Saccharomyces cerevisiae S288C: one gene and its partners. The gene in region 2 interacts genetically with the main gene of each other region. Each region holds a gene or a part of one and is shown on either strand. Other genes may lie near its edges.

Region 1 (4,207 bases), on a different chromosome or scaffold from region 2:
AAACCATCTGCATTATCGCAAGCGATCAATATTTGAGGAAGGAAGATTATGAAAAAACGCGTTCTGTTGAAAGTAGAGCCTTACCATCTCTCATAATATGCCCCCCATCTTTAACTGGCCATTGGGAAAACGAGTTTGACCAGTATGCTCCCTTTTTAAAGGTTGTTGTGTATGCCGGTGGCCCAACTGTCAGATTAACTCTGAGACCACAGTTAAGTGATGCTGATATTATTGTAACATCATATGACGTAGCTAGAAATGATCTCGCAGTCCTAAACAAAACTGAATATAATTATTGTGTTTTGGATGAAGGACATATAATTAAAAACTCTCAATCAAAACTTGCTAAGGCTGTTAAAGAAATTACTGCAAACCATAGATTAATTTTAACCGGAACTCCCATCCAAAACAACGTTTTAGAATTGTGGTCTCTGTTTGACTTCTTAATGCCGGGATTTTTGGGAACGGAAAAGATGTTCCAGGAAAGGTTCGCAAAGCCAATCGCTGCGTCAAGAAATAGTAAAACATCATCTAAGGAGCAGGAAGCAGGTGTACTGGCTTTGGAGGCACTACATAAGCAAGTTCTACCTTTCATGCTGAGAAGATTGAAGGAAGACGTTCTATCTGATTTACCACCTAAAATTATTCAGGATTACTACTGTGAATTAGGTGATTTACAAAAACAACTATACATGGATTTTACTAAAAAACAAAAAAATGTAGTTGAGAAAGATATTGAAAATTCTGAGATTGCTGATGGCAAGCAACATATTTTCCAAGCTTTACAATACATGAGAAAATTGTGTAATCATCCAGCTTTGGTCCTTTCACCAAATCACCCGCAATTAGCGCAAGTACAAGACTATTTAAAGCAAACTGGTCTAGATTTACACGATATTATCAACGCTCCAAAACTGAGCGCATTGAGAACATTACTCTTTGAATGTGGTATAGGTGAAGAAGATATCGACAAAAAAGCAAGCCAAGATCAGAATTTTCCTATTCAAAATGTCATATCACAACACAGAGCCCTGATTTTCTGCCAACTAAAAGATATGCTAGACATGGTTGAAAATGACTTGTTTAAAAAGTATATGCCCTCCGTAACCTATATGAGGCTAGATGGAAGCATTGACCCAAGAGACAGACAAAAAGTTGTTCGGAAATTTAACGAAGATCCCTCTATTGATTGCCTACTGTTGACCACCAAGGTCGGAGGGCTGGGTCTGAATTTAACTGGTGCAGACACCGTCATTTTTGTAGAGCATGACTGGAATCCAATGAATGATCTACAGGCAATGGACAGAGCACATAGAATTGGTCAGAAAAAGGTTGTTAATGTTTACAGAATTATTACGAAAGGTACGCTTGAAGAAAAAATCATGGGTTTGCAGAAATTCAAAATGAATATAGCTTCTACAGTTGTTAATCAGCAAAACAGTGGATTAGCATCCATGGATACACATCAGCTGCTTGATCTCTTCGACCCCGATAACGTTACCTCACAGGACAATGAGGAAAAGAATAATGGCGATTCCCAAGCAGCCAAGGGCATGGAAGATATTGCCAACGAGACTGGTTTAACTGGCAAAGCCAAAGAGGCCCTCGGTGAATTGAAAGAGCTATGGGACCCATCTCAATACGAGGAGGAGTATAATTTAGACACCTTCATCAAAACTTTACGATAAACAAATTCTTGCATTGGAATGACGCGTATACAAGGTCATTTTTGTTTTATTTAACGCATTTATGTATTATCAACTTGTAATATAATACGGTATATTAATGGAGTCTTATAGAATTTACGGGTATATTCAAATCAGTATTGATAATGTTTTCATATTCTCTTGTTAAAATTCAGGTTATTAGCTGTCTATTGATTATGGCTTGGACTTTTTTTTTATTTTATTATTTTTCATAGTTAAGTTGCGCCAAAGGGAAACTAGAAACAGTTTAGTCGAACTCTGCAGAGCTTCATCTCAGTATGAAAAATTATTCATTTGAGCTATCGAAACGTTTGGATATAAACATACATAAAACCTCTGTTCTTCTGCCAATTTAAATGCAATTCGCTGGGAAGAAAACTGATCAAGTGACCACATCTAATCCGGGCTTTGAAGAAGAAGAAGAAGAAGAAGAAGAACTACAACAAGATTGGTCGCAACTCGCATCGCTCGTTAGCAAAAATGCTGCTCTTTCACTTCCAAAGAGGGGTGAAAAAGACTATGAACCAGATGGGACTAATTTGCAAGATCTGCTTCTCTATAATGCAAGTAAAGCCATGTTTGATACCATATCAGACTCAATAAGAGGCACAACAGTAAAATCTGAAGTAAGAGGATACTATGTTCCCCATAAACATCAAGCCGTTCTACTTAAACCCAAAGGCAGCTTTATGCAAACGATGGGAAGGGCTGATAGCACAGGCGAACTCTGGCTTGACTTCCATGAGTTTGTTTATTTGGCAGAGAGAGGCACTATTCTTCCTTATTATAGATTAGAAGCAGGCTCTAACAAAAGCTCAAAGCACGAAACAGAGATTTTACTCAGTATGGAGGATTTGTATTCGCTGTTTTCATCGCAACAGGAAATGGACCAATATTTTGTGTTTGCTCATTTAAAAAGGTTGGGTTTTATTCTAAAACCCAGCAATCAAGAAGCAGCAGTCAAGACTTCCTTTTTCCCATTGAAAAAGCAACGAAGTAATTTACAAGCAATCACTTGGAGATTACTTTCATTGTTTAAAATACAAGAGTTATCGCTGTTTAGTGGTTTCTTCTATTCTAAGTGGAATTTTTTTTTTCGTAAATATACGACTTCACCACAGTTATACCAGGGTTTAAATAGGCTTGTTCGTTCCGTGGCTGTACCAAAGAATAAAAAAGAGCTATTGGATGCACAATCTGATAGGGAATTTCAAAAGGTAAAGGATATTCCCTTGACATTTAAAGTATGGAAACCCCATTCTAATTTCAAGAAAAGAGACCCCGGTCTTCCTGATTTCCAAGTTTTCGTTTACAATAAAAATGACGATCTTCAGCATTTTCCTACCTATAAAGAGCTGCGATCTATGTTTTCCTCACTTGATTATAAATTCGAATTTTTAAGCGAAATCGAGGATGATGACGATTGGGAGACAAACTCCTACGTTGAAGATATCCCACGAAAGGAATATATTCATAAGAGGAGCGCGAAATCTCAAACTGAAAAAAGTGAGTCGTCTATGAAAGCAAGTTTTCAAAAAAAAACTGCACAGTCTAGCACGAAAAAGAAGAGAAAGGCGTACCCACCTCACATACAGCAAAATCGTAGATTGAAGACGGGATATCGGAGCTTTATTATCGCTATTATGGATAATGGCCTTATTTCGTTTGTAAAAATGTCCGAGGCTGATTTTGGATCTGAAAGTGTATGGTATACACCTAATACTCAAAAGAAAGTAGATCAAAGATGGAAGAAGCATTAAAGGGACTTTTGCTAAATCGCAGTTTCTTTATCCTTGCAAAACTGGCTTTCAACAAATCCGGTATATATATAATTATCATATTAGTTGAAAAAAAAAAGCTACAATAAAATTAAGAAATAAGAAATGCACCTAACTGCTGTATTTGGAGTACATATTTTCATCAAAAACAGAGGGTCTATTGTAAAAGGACGTAGGATTCTCTTGCAGTTCACGTTCTTCGTTTTCAACTGCTTTACGTCTTCTCAAGTCGTACATATCCTCTTGCGATTGTTTCGGTGGTACTGGTGGGGCTGCCATAGTAGGCGTTGCAGCATATGGCGAAGCTTCATAAGTTCTTGGTGGAATACCGGGTCCTTGAGGTAAATCACTGCCGGCACTTATTTTGAGATTTTGAAATTGGTCCCCTAAATTGAGCCCTTGTCTAGATAATGACTGAAAGGCTGCACTTTTTTGGGGCAGTAATGGAGGACCCCCAACGACAGACGCTTTAGAATCAAGTGGAGGGAGGGGAGGAGCGGGAGAATTAGCTGTTGAATCCTCGGTCTGCTTTGCAACTCTCACTCTTTCTGCTAAGTCTCTACTCATATTGAATAATGAATCATAGAACTCTATTCCTTTTGGCAAGTCGGATGCAAAAATACTGAATGATTTCACTGCTTCTTGCAGCTTATCAAAAAAATTCTTACGATCTTCTAAAAATTTTTCTTCCCCAGAAGATTTATCCTTGAAATTTGAAAGGTG
Region 2 (5,016 bases):
GCTATCATTGTGGCAGCTAATTTAAAGGATATACAGTTAATTCAACAAGATTTTCAAGTCCATTTCTTTTGGGCACGCTGAACACGCTCAATGTAGTACTTGTTTTGGAAATCACTCGCAGCAAGTTTAATGGGACGAATTATATCAGTAATGTGTAAATTCCGACACAATGTTCGGTTAGTAGATTTACTGCTGGATTATTGGGTTCACCCGTAGACTGTTGCCGACTCCAAGAAAACTATGATCTCAATACAGGCATAAAGAATTGTTGTATCTGTGCCCATGTGATCTGTACCTTTTTTGCGGTACCAAAATCGCATGTTGCACTCACACTACGGAACACATCAACTTGTAACGACAACAATACAAAATACCAGGAGACATATCACTTTTTTTCGCTTAGAATGATTTACAATGGCATACACTTAGAAAAGTGCTATGACATGACGCCCTTACTAGAAGTTACATGATATTCTTTTTTTTCTTTCTTTCTTTCTTTTTCGGTACAACATAATTAATGCATTCATACAGAGCGCATTTCCAGCATCATTTATTGGATAGTAACTCCTCCCGCACTTTTAATATCAATGACGCTGACTCTTTTACTGACGCTGAGTCTTTACCGACGCTGAGTTTTTACCGACGCTTGTGAAAATAAAAAGTACGACACAGCTATATGCGTCGCAAGTTCAAATGTGGGTCTATCGAGCATGTTTATCCTATCCTGTTATGTCATTTTTATCGGAAGTAATAAAAATGTAGAAATCACTTGTTTTTGCCTTTTTTGTGATTTTGCTTTCATTTTTTTTTTGCCCTTTTTTCACCAGCTTGGGGATCAACATCCTGATTTCTTGTTACTTCGATTATGTCTAAAAAGTGCCTTGATTTGAGAGAAAATATTTTCCTCATCTGGCAAGACAACCAAACCATCTTCAGTGAATTCTTCGTGTGTCGCCTTGTCTATTAGTTCCGGGTTTCTCATGAACATTGTAAACGTAAAGAACGGTACCGTACATGCCAAGCCAACCGTCATTATTATTCGTTGAACATATCTGTAAGATTCAACCACAGCATCTCTTTCCGGTGAGCCCCAAGGATAATCACTAATGAATGTATAAGGTGATGCATATGCTATTTCTGCCAATGTATCGTTTCCAAGGTTCTTGTAGAGTTGGTTAGGCATGGTTTGTGTCCATATGGCACCAGAAACGGAGGCACCGATAGCAGCGCCTAGCTTTGAAAAGGTATACTGAATGCCGGTTATTACAGCCATCCTACTATGCGTAGTCATGGCTTGCAGTATGACGATCACTGAATTGCTGCATAGGAGACCGCTCAAACCCATGATAACAGATGCAGCGATAACACCTTCATGAGACCCAGATCCTCCTCTGTATTTGTAAAAAAGGCCCATGCACACCATCCATGCAGCACAACCTCCGATTACAGAAAGTTTCAGTTTCCTTGTCTTTGCCACCAACAAACTGTAGAATGGAGATGCAGTAGCAGCAACAAAGTCAGGAAGGTTTACTATCCGAGCAGCCGAAGTGGACGATTCTTTCATCGATACCAGCAAAACAGGATACAGATAGTCGCACGAAATGAAAAAGGTGAAAAAATTGAAAAAAGTAACACCAAGGGGTGCCCAAATTCCACGATCACTTAGTAATTTGAACGGTAGAAGAGGAGATTTGGCAAATTTGGCCTCCCAATATAAAAAAATGAAAAATAAACAGCCACCTGAAACTAAAGTGGCAATTATTTTTGAATTGTGCCACTTTTGTGATGTCTCATTAGCCAACGTCAAAGGAACAAGAATACACCCTAGCGACACAGTTATTAATAATATGCCAACAATATCGAGTTTCCAGAATAGAAACACCAAATTCTCAAATAATCCGCCCGTTCTTTCCTTTCTAGCCTGTTCTTTGAGAGATCTCCACTCAGCAGTCTTTGAAGATTTGTACTTCATATAAAGAATAAGAAATATAATTGGCAAGGTAGAGAGTGGGTAAATAAAAGCCCACATTGCAATATTCCAGGACCAGTTTTTCTGAGGATTTGCTGCTGTGATAATATTGCCTGAAATCCATGGTATTATGATATATGGCCAATATGAGGCGTACTGGTAAAACATTCTCCATTTCAAGGAGGAGAAATCTGAGAGTATTAATGTCAGGAGCAGATTTGTTCCGACGTATCCACAGTTATAGAAAACCGATCCTGCTGCATACATGGTGAGACGGGTCGCCTGTGATTGAATGATGGTTCCCATTATATAAAAAATAGTTGCAACTAAAAAAAGCCTTAGTCTTCCGAAGTGGTCAGAGAGTCTAGAGTAGACAACTTGGGATCCGACACTCACAACAGCATTGATAACTTGGACAGTTGAAAGTAAGGAGTGTTCTGAATATGAGTTCGTTGCATAGCCCGTATAGGTCGATCTAAGTGTGTAGTCTAAACTAATTCCAAACCCACATACAAACGCGGTACTTATCAGTAGAATTTTATATTTCAAGGAATCAAACTGTGCAGACATAATTTCGTTTTCTTTGAGCTTAAAAAAGGTCGATGTCATAGAGTACGTGTCATCGTTTGAGTGACGTTCTCGCTCAATAATCTCACAGGACTGCCTAATTCCACTTTTTTTATTACTTGAGGCACCAACAACACTAGAACTCATCCGATAATTTATTTACTTGATTATTCTTTTTTTTTTTTTTCTCGTTCCAGTCCATAAAACTATTTTACTTTTCTTATTTATGTAAATAGTATTTAAGATTCTACGGTCGCTACATCTGCTAGAAATGGAATTACTTTAATACATTCCATGTTCTCATATATATTTTACTGACACATTTTGTCACTATTTTTTTTTTAACTTTTTTTTGGAAGTACTAAAATTATATGCTCGTAATTATTGAGTATCAAAAAAAAATAAAAAAAATTGCTGTGACGCCCCTTCAATGTGGTGTCTATACACCTGGTGACTTTAACTTTAACTTTGACCTGTCGTCGTACAATCAACTTACTTTCCGAAAATCCACAACGAACCAGTTATACCGAAGACTTTTGTACGACAAGAATACTGTACCGTCGAAACTATCTCTTTTCAAACTAATGAGTGAAGCTTGTGTTTATGTCTGTTGAAACAAGGAAAAAAATGCGGTGCCTGTCGACAGGATATGAGCACAAGTGCAAAATCATCAAAAAATTGAGTACCTAGATCCGGTGGTGTAGGACGAGCAAAGTTCCTTCATAAACAAACCGTAAGGGTTACTGATACACAATTTCCTTTGTGTAAAGAGTATTTGAGCAAATTAGTCGGCGATTGAAAGCAACACCCTTTTTTCTATATATAGTAGGTGAAAGTTAACATGCGAGTAAAAGTAGTGCCACATTTCCTTTGCAGCAGGTGCAAATTAGTACATATTTAACAGATAGCGCCGCACCTCATATGCAGCGCGTACATGATACGAGTCGACAAAATATGCAAAAGATAATAGTGTCATCACACCTTTATGAGAAGCGAATTTTTTTTTTTTTTGGTTTAAATATATATATACATATATATAGATGTATTCTAGTTATACTCATACCTAGAACTGATCAGACCAGATCATACCTGGTATAGAGCTTAATCGATAGAAATTCAAAAATATGGAGGAAACTAAGTACTCTTCGCAGCAGGAGATAGAAGGAGCATGTGGTTCAGACGCTTCATTGAATGCTAGAGGTAGCAATGATTCTCCAATGGGACTTTCCTTGTACCTCTGCCTGGCTTCGTTAACTCTTGTACTATTCATAACTGCACTGGATATTTTGATAGTGGGAACTATTATTGACGTGGTCGCAGAACAGTTCGGAAACTACTCCAAAACAGGTTGGCTCGTTACAGGCTACAGTTTACCAAATGCTATTCTGAGTCTCATTTGGGGAAGATTCGCATCTATCATAGGTTTCCAGCATAGTCTCATTTTAGCAATACTTATTTTTGAAGCCGGATCCCTAATTGCTGCCCTTGCCTCTTCAATGAATATGCTCATTTTCGGTAGAGTTGTTGCTGGTGTTGGGGGAAGCGGACTCCAAACGCTTTGCTTTGTTATTGGTTGTACGATGGTTGGTGAAAGGTCACGTCCATTGGTGATTTCCATCCTAAGTTGTGCATTTGCTGTAGCTGCTATCGTTGGTCCTATAATCGGAGGTGCCTTTACAACCCATGTTACCTGGAGGTGGTGCTTCTATATCAATCTTCCTATCGGTGGTCTTGCCATTATTATGTTTTTACTCACCTATAAGGCCGAGAATAAGGGTATACTTCAACAAATTAAAGATGCTATAGGAACAATCTCGAGCTTTACTTTTAGTAAGTTCAGACACCAAGTTAATTTTAAAAGACTTATGAATGGCATAATCTTCAAGTTTGACTTCTTTGGTTTTGCCCTCTGCTCTGCAGGGCTGGTCCTTTTCCTACTGGGGCTAACCTTTGGTGGTAATAAATATAGTTGGAACTCTGGCCAAGTCATCACATATTTGGTTTTGGGTGTCTTACTTTTTATTTTTTCATTGGTGTACGATTTCTTCCTATTCGATAAATTCAACCCGGAACCTGATAATATATCCTACAGGCCTCTCCTTCTAAGAAGATTGGTAGCAAAACCAGCCATAATAATAGTAAACATGGTAACATTTCTATTATGTACCGGTTACAATGGGCAAATGATATACTCTGTCCAGTTTTTCCAACTTATATTTGCGTCGAGTGCATGGAAAGCCGGTCTTCACTTGATACCAATCGTTATTACCAACGTTATTGCGGCCATTGCAAGTGGTGTGATTACCAAAAAGCTCGGTTTAGTTAAACCACTCTTAATATTTGGAGGCGTTCTTGGGGTAATTGGAGCAGGGCTTATGACACTTATGACAAATACGTCCACGAAGTCAACTCAAATTGGTGTTTTGCTATTACCGGGGTTTTCCCTTGGATTTGCTCTACAAGCATCGCTCATGAGTGCA
Region 3 (4,236 bases), on a different chromosome or scaffold from region 2:
CGTAAACACCCAATTCGACCAAGTTGACCCTTTCGTCAGATGGAGATAGAGTGGTAGTGGCTGGGGCAGCGGCAATACCGGCAGCGATGGCGGCAACACCAGCAGCGATTGAAGTTAATTTGACCATTGTATTTGTTTTGTTTGTTAGTGCTGATGTAATCTTAACAAGAAATAGTGAAATGAAAGCGCATACCTCAAAGGCATATAGTTGAAGCAGCTCTATTTATACCCGTTCCTCCATCTGTCATCACTACTTAAACGATTCGTTAACAGACGCTCATTTAGCACCTCACATATCCTCCATATCTCATCTTTCACACAATCTCATTATCTCTATGGAGATGCTCTTGTTTCTGAACGAATCATACATCTTTCATAGGTTTCGTATGTGGAGTATTGTTTTATGGCACTCATGTGTATTCGTATGCGCAGAATGTGGGAATGCCAATTATAGGGGTGCCGGGGTGCCTTGAAAAACCCTTTTACGCGCGCCTGTGAAGTTTCCGCTTTCGGTCAAAAAGAATATCCGAATTTTAGATTTGGACCCTCGTTCAGAAGCTTATTGTCTAAGCCTAAATTCAGTCTGCTTTAAACGGCTTCCGCGGAAGAAATATTTCCATCTCTTGAATTCGTACAACATTAAACGTGTGTTGGGAGTCGTATACTGTTAGGGTCTGCAAATATGTAAACTCTCGGCGAATGCCTTGGTGCAATTACGTAATTGTAGCCGCTGAAGGCGGATGGTATTGAGAGAAGTTGATGTTCAAAGTATCGTGTATGATAAAAATAGAATTGTAACCAGTTCGTAGTAGCAGTATTAAAACTTTGATTCCGAGATGTAATCCCTCTTTTCTAGCCAGATATGAAGGAAAAAAGTGTAAGGGTAGTTGAGAGCGCTACTTTATTTTATTCTATTTTAAAAATGTTCTCTAGGAGAGGTGTATTAATAGTTGGTACTCCATGTAGCTTCTAAGTCAAAAGAAATGTCTCTATCTTTATGGTAACGGTTCATCGTTAGAGCTCAATTGTGCTTCTTGGATGTATTTCCAAAGTCCCACGTTTAATAACCCACACAACATAAATGTCCTTGAATATAAAAAATTTCGAAAGCTCCCCGTAAAGAATGCTTGATAATCAGCTCCATCAAAGAAATACTTTTTGTTCTTCCAAACTTTTCCTCTCAGCAAATACATATTTATTTCCTTTGCAACCACTTTCTAGAGAATTCATAATAGTTGATAAAAAAGGCATTTTGTCTTCTATGTTCATAATTTCAATTCTTGAATTTTGGAAATCGTGAAATGTTTCGAGAAACCGCCTTCAATAATTAGAAAACAAAATAAAAGATTACAGTTAGGCCACTCAAAAATACAATTCAGATAAGAAAGGTGCGATAGTGGGGAATAAGAATTGGAAATCCGCTTGATAATCAGGGAAAACTTAAAGAACGGGGTGTTAAAAGTCTGTGAAGTATAGATCAAACTCGCACTAGCTAGCAATACTCATGAGAACCTAGGTGAGTGTAAAGCAGTGAACCTTCTTTAGAAAGCAGAGAAAAATCCTCCAAGTTAACAGTCTTCCATACTTACTCAGTATGGATCAAGTTCCACAGTTTGTCCACTTCTGTAGAATAAACTTGTAGTGCTTTTCCGATGAAAAGGGATAGAGTCTTTAAAAGACTTGATCTTGGCATTTTTATCCTCCTTCAAGCAGAATGGCTCCAGTAGAGTTGTTCTGAACGCTTCTGGGCAGTGAGCAGCATTGAAGAAAAAGTACTCAGCATTCCAAGCTTTGTCTTCATATAATTATAAATTAAAACTCATAGCCACCAATTTCCAGGTTTTGGTCGCAATATGCTGCAGAATCAATGGCTTGTTTCGTTACTATACTGGTCCGACGGAGTTTACTTTACTCTAAATTTGCTGAAATAGCAAGGCCACACGCCATACAATTAACAATAGTTCATTCAGTTGAAAGGTTTCCGAGATAGAAAGTGCGGTAGTAGAGAAGAACAATAAACGTATCAAACTTTGCGCAGTCATGGAATTTCCAGGAAACATTTTTAGGTTTTCATATGACAGCAGTTCCTGTCCGAGAGCTGTGCCTTTCTTGTCTCAGCTGACTAAGATGTCTCGGATCCGCCCGGCTGGCGCGCGGCTCCGTCTAGTGGGATAGGCTTTCAACACATAGGAAACCCTTCAGATGATGAGAACACATCGAATCCCAGAGAGTAATATCACCAAGAATAAAGCAACCATGATAGACAATATTACTAAGTGTTCCTCAACAGATATTGAGAAAAGTTCTTATAAAGCGGGCAGGCTTTTTTCTATTTTTTTCTTTTTCTTTATCTAGCTTAAGATCCTTCTAACCATATTCTATAAAATGGCAAGCTGAATACAGATTATCAACGACAATTACATATAACCTACAAACAGGCAAGTTGCAATTCCAGAAACCATGAAGGCTGTCGTCATTGAAGACGGTAAAGCGGTTGTCAAAGAGGGCGTTCCCATTCCTGAATTGGAAGAAGGATTCGTATTGATTAAGACACTCGCTGTTGCTGGTAACCCGACTGATTGGGCACACATTGACTACAAGGTCGGGCCTCAAGGATCTATTCTGGGATGTGACGCTGCCGGCCAAATTGTCAAATTGGGCCCAGCCGTCGATCCTAAAGACTTTTCTATTGGTGATTATATTTATGGGTTCATTCACGGATCTTCCGTAAGGTTTCCTTCCAATGGTGCTTTTGCTGAATATTCTGCTATTTCAACTGTGGTTGCCTACAAATCACCCAATGAACTCAAATTTTTGGGTGAAGATGTTCTACCTGCCGGCCCTGTCAGGTCTTTGGAAGGGGCAGCCACTATCCCAGTGTCACTGACCACAGCTGGCTTGGTGTTGACCTATAACTTGGGCTTGAACCTGAAGTGGGAGCCATCAACCCCACAAAGAAACGGCCCCATCTTATTATGGGGCGGTGCAACTGCAGTAGGTCAGTCGCTCATCCAATTAGCCAATAAATTGAATGGCTTCACCAAGATCATTGTTGTGGCTTCTCGGAAACACGAAAAACTGTTGAAAGAATATGGTGCTGATCAACTATTTGATTACCATGATATTGACGTGGTAGAACAAATTAAACACAAGTACAACAATATCTCGTATTTAGTCGACTGTGTCGCGAATCAAAATACGCTTCAACAAGTGTACAAATGTGCGGCCGATAAACAGGATGCTACCGTTGTCGAATTAACTAATTTGACAGAAGAAAACGTCAAAAAGGAGAATAGGAGGCAAAATGTCACTATTGACAGAACAAGACTGTATTCAATAGGCGGCCATGAAGTACCATTTGGTGGCATTACTTTCCCTGCTGACCCAGAAGCCAGGAGAGCTGCCACCGAATTCGTCAAGTTCATCAATCCAAAGATTAGTGATGGGCAAATTCACCATATTCCAGCAAGGGTCTATAAGAACGGGCTTTACGATGTTCCTCGTATCCTGGAAGACATTAAAATCGGTAAGAACTCTGGTGAAAAACTAGTTGCCGTATTAAACTAGATGACGAACAGATATTATTTTTCTTTTGTATACACAGTTATTACGTATGTTAGAGTGACTTGGTTTTTTTTTTTTTAATGAAATTGTTTGTTATTGATCACGCCTTGTAGGGGAAACAGATGAGAACAGTGAAAATCATAACTCATTATGTGATTTGTTGTGCGTCACCCTTCCATGATTATATATCCTTACTATCTACTATCCAACTACTACATATCTATTGAACTCATATGTACCAAGCACATAAAATTATGCACCTATTTCCATTGGCAAAGACTTGGCGAAATTTAATACACTGTAATAATATCCGGCGAAGCTCTTTAAGAATTCTTACCTATAATAGCGGCTCGCTGTCCGAACGATTGCGCCGCACTTTTCTGCCTCTTACATTCCCTTTTCCTAAGGCGATAAGCAGGCTGAATGGAAACTACGATATAACGCAGTAGAGGTCCCCCAAGAGCTGGAAAGAAAATATTGGTTTGATAGCCAGCACTATTCTATCCAGTGGGCTCTTGTACCATTTTCTGTGGTATGGCTTTGATTCAACTGCATACGTAGTTAACGCGATCAGCCGCACATGGGCATTATCATTTTCAGGGGTACTGGTAAACCCTATTGTTTAGAAAGAATACCTGGTAAGCGGGTCTGTCGAGTCTTTCCCACTAATTT
Region 4 (4,762 bases), on a different chromosome or scaffold from region 2:
ATAGAAATGCCAATTGCATCCCTATCTGGAGGTTGGAAAATGAAATTAGCTTTGGCGAGGGCTGTTCTGAAGGACGCTGACATTCTACTATTGGATGAACCAACAAATCATCTAGACACTGTTAATGTGGAGTGGCTGGTAAATTATTTGAATACTTGCGGAATTACATCGGTGATTGTCTCTCATGATTCTGGTTTTCTGGATAAGGTTTGTCAATACATCATACATTATGAGGGTCTTAAATTAAGAAAGTACAAGGGTAATTTATCAGAATTTGTTCAAAAATGTCCTACGGCACAATCATACTATGAATTAGGTGCCTCTGACCTTGAATTTCAATTCCCAACTCCTGGTTATCTAGAAGGTGTCAAAACGAAGCAAAAGGCAATTGTTAAAGTAAGTAATATGACTTTTCAATATCCAGGGACAACTAAACCACAAGTCTCAGATGTTACTTTCCAGTGTTCTCTATCCTCAAGGATTGCAGTTATCGGACCTAATGGGGCTGGTAAGTCCACTTTAATTAATGTTCTTACTGGTGAACTGTTACCAACCAGCGGTGAAGTATATACACACGAGAATTGTCGTATAGCGTATATTAAGCAGCACGCTTTTGCACACATTGAATCGCACTTAGACAAAACTCCATCCGAATACATTCAATGGAGGTTCCAAACTGGTGAGGATAGGGAAACAATGGATAGAGCAAATAGGCAAATAAATGAAAATGACGCAGAGGCCATGAATAAAATATTTAAAATTGAAGGGACCCCAAGAAGGGTTGCAGGAATCCATTCAAGAAGGAAATTTAAAAACACGTATGAGTACGAATGTTCGTTTTTGTTAGGTGAGAACATTGGTATGAAATCTGAAAGATGGGTTCCAATGATGTCTGTCGACAATGCTTGGCTACCAAGGGGCGAATTGATTGAATCCCATTCTAAAATGGTTGCTGAAATTGATATGAAGGAAGCTTTGGCTTCTGGTCAATTCAGGGCTTTAACAAGAAAAGAGATTGAATTACATTGCGCCATGTTGGGGTTGGATTCAGAATTAGTCTCACATTCAAGAATTAGAGGTTTATCGGGTGGGCAAAAGGTTAAATTGGTACTCGCTGCCTGCACGTGGCAAAGACCCCATTTGATTGTTTTAGATGAACCTACGAATTACTTGGACAGAGATTCATTGGGTGCTCTTTCAAAAGCATTAAAAGCTTTTGAAGGTGGTGTCATTATTATTACGCATTCGGCAGAATTTACTAAGAATCTGACTGACGAAGTTTGGGCGGTTAAGGATGGGAAAATGACACCCTCTGGCCATAATTGGGTTGCAGGACAAGGTGCTGGCCCAAGAATTGAGAAAAAAGAAGAAGAGGGTGATAAATTTGATGCTATGGGTAACAAGATTAATAGTGGGAAGAAAAAAAGCAAACTCTCTTCTGCAGAATTGAGAAAGAAAAAGAAGGAGAGAATGAAGAAGAAAAAAGAGATGGGTGATGAATACGTTTCTTCTGATGAAGATTTTTAATTTGAAGTCGAGTACATCTCTTTCAGTGAGTAACTTATATATTTTTGAAGTTAACATCCTTATTCTTTTTTTATATTTTTATTTTTTTTATGTTTATTTTCTATTACTGATTTTCACAAAGAAAGGTAAAAAAAAACATACTTCAGCGGCTATACAACCATATTTAAGTAAATGCACTCAGAGAAAGTATACAAGTAAAAAACCTAAGTAAAGACATAAATATCCCAAAATAATGCAAAAACTCCTCTTTGTCTTTTCTGTGTTATTGACAGTAGTACTAGCAACAGCACCATTTCAGGTACAATGTCCTAGCTCTCCACTTATTAGGGAGGCCAAAGTAAGTTAAACTCTTTGCCACTTTAACAAATATGGGCCAAAACTAACCGAATATACCAAAACTTCGTATTCCTTTGTTTATTAGCATGAACTCTGTCCAGAAGAAACCTTGTATCTGAAGAAAAAAAAAATTAAAACGAAGAATAAACTGATTCAGTTTTTAAAATCCTTGACAGAGGCAAAGTTTAGTTCGAAGTTTTATAAACGCGTGTTGAAAGATCCTCCAAAAATTGGGATTGCTATATCTGGCGGCGGGTACAGATCCATGTTAGTAGGTACCGGATTTATTTCCCAAATGAACGATTATGGCCTTTTTGAATATTCGGATTATATTGCTGGATTATCAGGCGGAAGTTGGATCTTGATGGATTTGGTAGTTCAAAATTTTGAAGTAAAATCCCTGCTACAAGAGTGGGACCTTGAAGAGGATCTTTTATTAGGCATACCGGAATTCGATATTTCCGAAGAAGAAATTGTTACCAATGCAAAAAAGGAGTATAATGATAATGATTTGAAGATGAAGAAGCGTCAGGGGGGTTCTCTGATTACAAGCTCTTCAAATTTTTATGAACAAATAGAGGAGATCATGAATTCCATAGAAGAAATCCCAGAAGACTATATGATAACGAAGAGAAACTTGAATCCATTAGCAAGACTAAAAAAAATATTCTTTCCTAACAACACTTTCACTGGAACTGATGCGAAGATTGAAACCTTTAAAAAAGTGCTAGACTTTTACAAAAGTTTGCATTTGAAAATTAAGCCTAAAAAAATGGAGGGTTTCCAAATATCGTTCACCGATTATTGGGGTAAAGCAATCGTTCAAAGACTAAAAAAAAATTTCGATGACGATCCCAACCATTCCTTTTCGTTTTCGAAGCTTGTAAACTCGTCTAAAAAATTTAAGGAATGCAGTGTGCCGATCCCAATATTCGTTGCAAATTGCAAAAATGGACTTCTTTCAAACGTTATATTTGAATTTACGCCCTTTGAATTTGGATCTTGGGAAAATATCCTCAGACTTTTCGTCAAGTTGCCCTATTTGGGCTCAAAAATTGTTTCTGGAAAGGCCGAGAAGTGTATTAATAACTTTGATGATCTAGGTTTTATTACTGCGACGTCTTCTTCAATATTCAACAATGTGCTCATCTTCATCTGGAATTTGGCTTCTCAGTCCTCCAGAGAAGCAATGAAAGCTTTGAATATGGTTATGGGAATTTTTGGCCTAGGTAAAGAGGAAATATTTAGTATTTCGAAAGACTCCTCGAGATTAGAGACAGACTATGCCGTATATCAACCCAATCCCTTTTATCTTTATCCTGAAAAAGACAATGTCCTAACTAACAAAAATCATTTATACCTTGTAGACGGCGGAGAAGACGGCGAGAATATTCCACTCAGAACATTGGTGATTCCTGAAAGGGAACTAGATGTAATTTTTGTTCTGGATTCTAGTTCGGATATTGACAACTATCCAAACGGCTCCAAGTTAAAAAGGATATTCGAAAAATTAGATGAAGAGAACGTTCATTACCAATTTCCGAACAATGTAAAAACATTCACTCACCCCATTGTTATAGGATGCAATGCTACCAAAAGAACTGGACATGATTCATTTTTGCCAATTATAATTTATCATGCCAATGCGAATCATGGAAACGCATCTAATACGTCGACATTCAAAATAACTTACAATCAGTCTGAAGTTAGCAGTATGTTACCCACTGGAAGGGGAGTGTTTAGCAATGATTATGACCTTTATTATAAAAATTGCTTAGGCTGTATATTAACCAAAAGAACAATGGACAGGCTCCCAAGAAAAAAGAAATTTTCGCCATTTTGCTTACAATGCTTTAAAGACTACTGTTACTCATAAGAGAGTAGACTTTTTCTGTGAAATTTAATGAGTTTTTGTTCACCTTTTTTACTTTTCTTCTATGCCATATGGTTAAATAAAACATGGTTCAAACGCGATTCTTTTTTATTATCTATGTCTTTATTATGTAGTCTTCACTATAATAACCGTTAATGAGCGACATAGTTGCATCAGTTTTTAAGGCCAATTTGATTCAGAACCTTTTCAAGTTCTTCACTTTCCATCTTATCCGAAGACGCGATCTGGTGGCATCTAATACTATGCTTCTCGAATATCGTTTCATCAATTTCAATTTCACCATTTTTTAGGTAAACAATATCAGTAATAAAATCTTGCCATTCAAAGTCATCATTCTCTGAATGGACACCCTTAGATTGCCTATAGCCTGCTATTGCCCTACTCATAGAATCTATGATCATTTGAACGTAGTGTAAACCGTCTAAACCAAAAACCTCTCTATCATATTTATTATTTATGAGCAAAACTTTTTTCGTATTATTAGATTCCAAAATTACTTCAGCAAGATTACCAAGAATAAGGATTGGGAGTAAACTTGTCATTAAAGAACCGATAGAATAAACGACCATGTCAGCTTTTTTCACCTTGGAAATAGCTCTTGGATTTCCCATTGGTTTTATCTCTTCGCCATATGGGTTTATATACAATATCCTATGTACCGGAGCAGGTAGATTCTGTGATTCATCAAGCTTGTCAAAATGCAACTGGGAGTTTTTCAGTTCTGGAAGAATATAGATAGGATTGGCATACTCCTCTTCCGCTTCTTCTTCCTCATCGTCGAGGAGAATTTTCAAATGGTCGTCATAAGAGCCAAGTAAATGAATAAATTTAGCTGAATGTGCTATGCTATTATCTTTAGGAACAGATTTCGAGGGATGCGATATTTGTGATTGGCCAGTTATCATCTCACCATTCGTCAACAAAGCCGAGATATGATGTGTGTGATTGGTATTTATACATGGAATAACATGAACTAGAGGACTGCACCTTCCTATCCTCATCATT

The links.
Region 1: mutations in GEX2 (region 2) and SEN54 together harm fitness more than expected from each alone (negative genetic interaction), as found in Saccharomyces cerevisiae (one large-scale study listed by BioGRID).
Region 3: mutations in GEX2 (region 2) and YCR102C together harm fitness more than expected from each alone (negative genetic interaction), as found in Saccharomyces cerevisiae (one large-scale study listed by BioGRID).
Region 4: mutations in GEX2 (region 2) and SPO1 together harm fitness more than expected from each alone (negative genetic interaction), as found in Saccharomyces cerevisiae (one large-scale study listed by BioGRID).

The regions. Positions count from the first base shown.
Region 1 is NC_001148.4:395,961-400,167, reverse strand, and holds SEN54 (tRNA splicing endonuclease subunit SEN54), read left to right. Parts: upstream 1-2,062; coding exon 2,063-3,466; downstream 3,467-4,207. Other genes in the region: MOT1 (DNA-binding ATPase), read left to right, coding at 1-1,688; BRO1 (Bro1p), read right to left, coding at 3,596-4,207. UniProt on the Saccharomyces cerevisiae protein: Non-catalytic subunit of the tRNA-splicing endonuclease complex, a complex responsible for identification and cleavage of the splice sites in pre-tRNA. It cleaves pre-tRNA at the 5' and 3' splice sites to release the intron.
Region 2 is NC_001143.9:659,109-664,124, reverse strand, and holds GEX2 (glutathione exchanger), read right to left. Parts: upstream 2,684-5,016; coding exon 836-2,683; downstream 1-835. Other genes in the region: VBA5 (basic amino acid transporter), read left to right, coding at 3,661-5,016.
Region 3 is NC_001135.5:303,692-307,927, reverse strand, and holds YCR102C (uncharacterized protein), read left to right. Parts: upstream 1-2,460; coding exon 2,461-3,567; downstream 3,568-4,236. Other genes in the region: seripauperin PAU3, read right to left, coding at 1-127.
Region 4 is NC_001146.8:607,927-612,688, forward strand, and holds SPO1 (putative carboxylic ester hydrolase), read left to right. Parts: upstream 1-1,759; coding exon 1,760-1,864; intron 1,865-1,948; coding exon 1,949-3,739; downstream 3,740-4,762. Other genes in the region: HEF3 (translation elongation factor EF-3), read left to right, coding at 1-1,527; YNL011C (uncharacterized protein), read right to left, coding at 3,910-4,762. UniProt on the Saccharomyces cerevisiae protein: Regulates spindle pole duplication in meiosis I, but not in mitosis. Required for meiosis I, meiosis II chromosome segregation and spore formation. Binds phosphatidylinositol (4)P mono- and polyphosphates.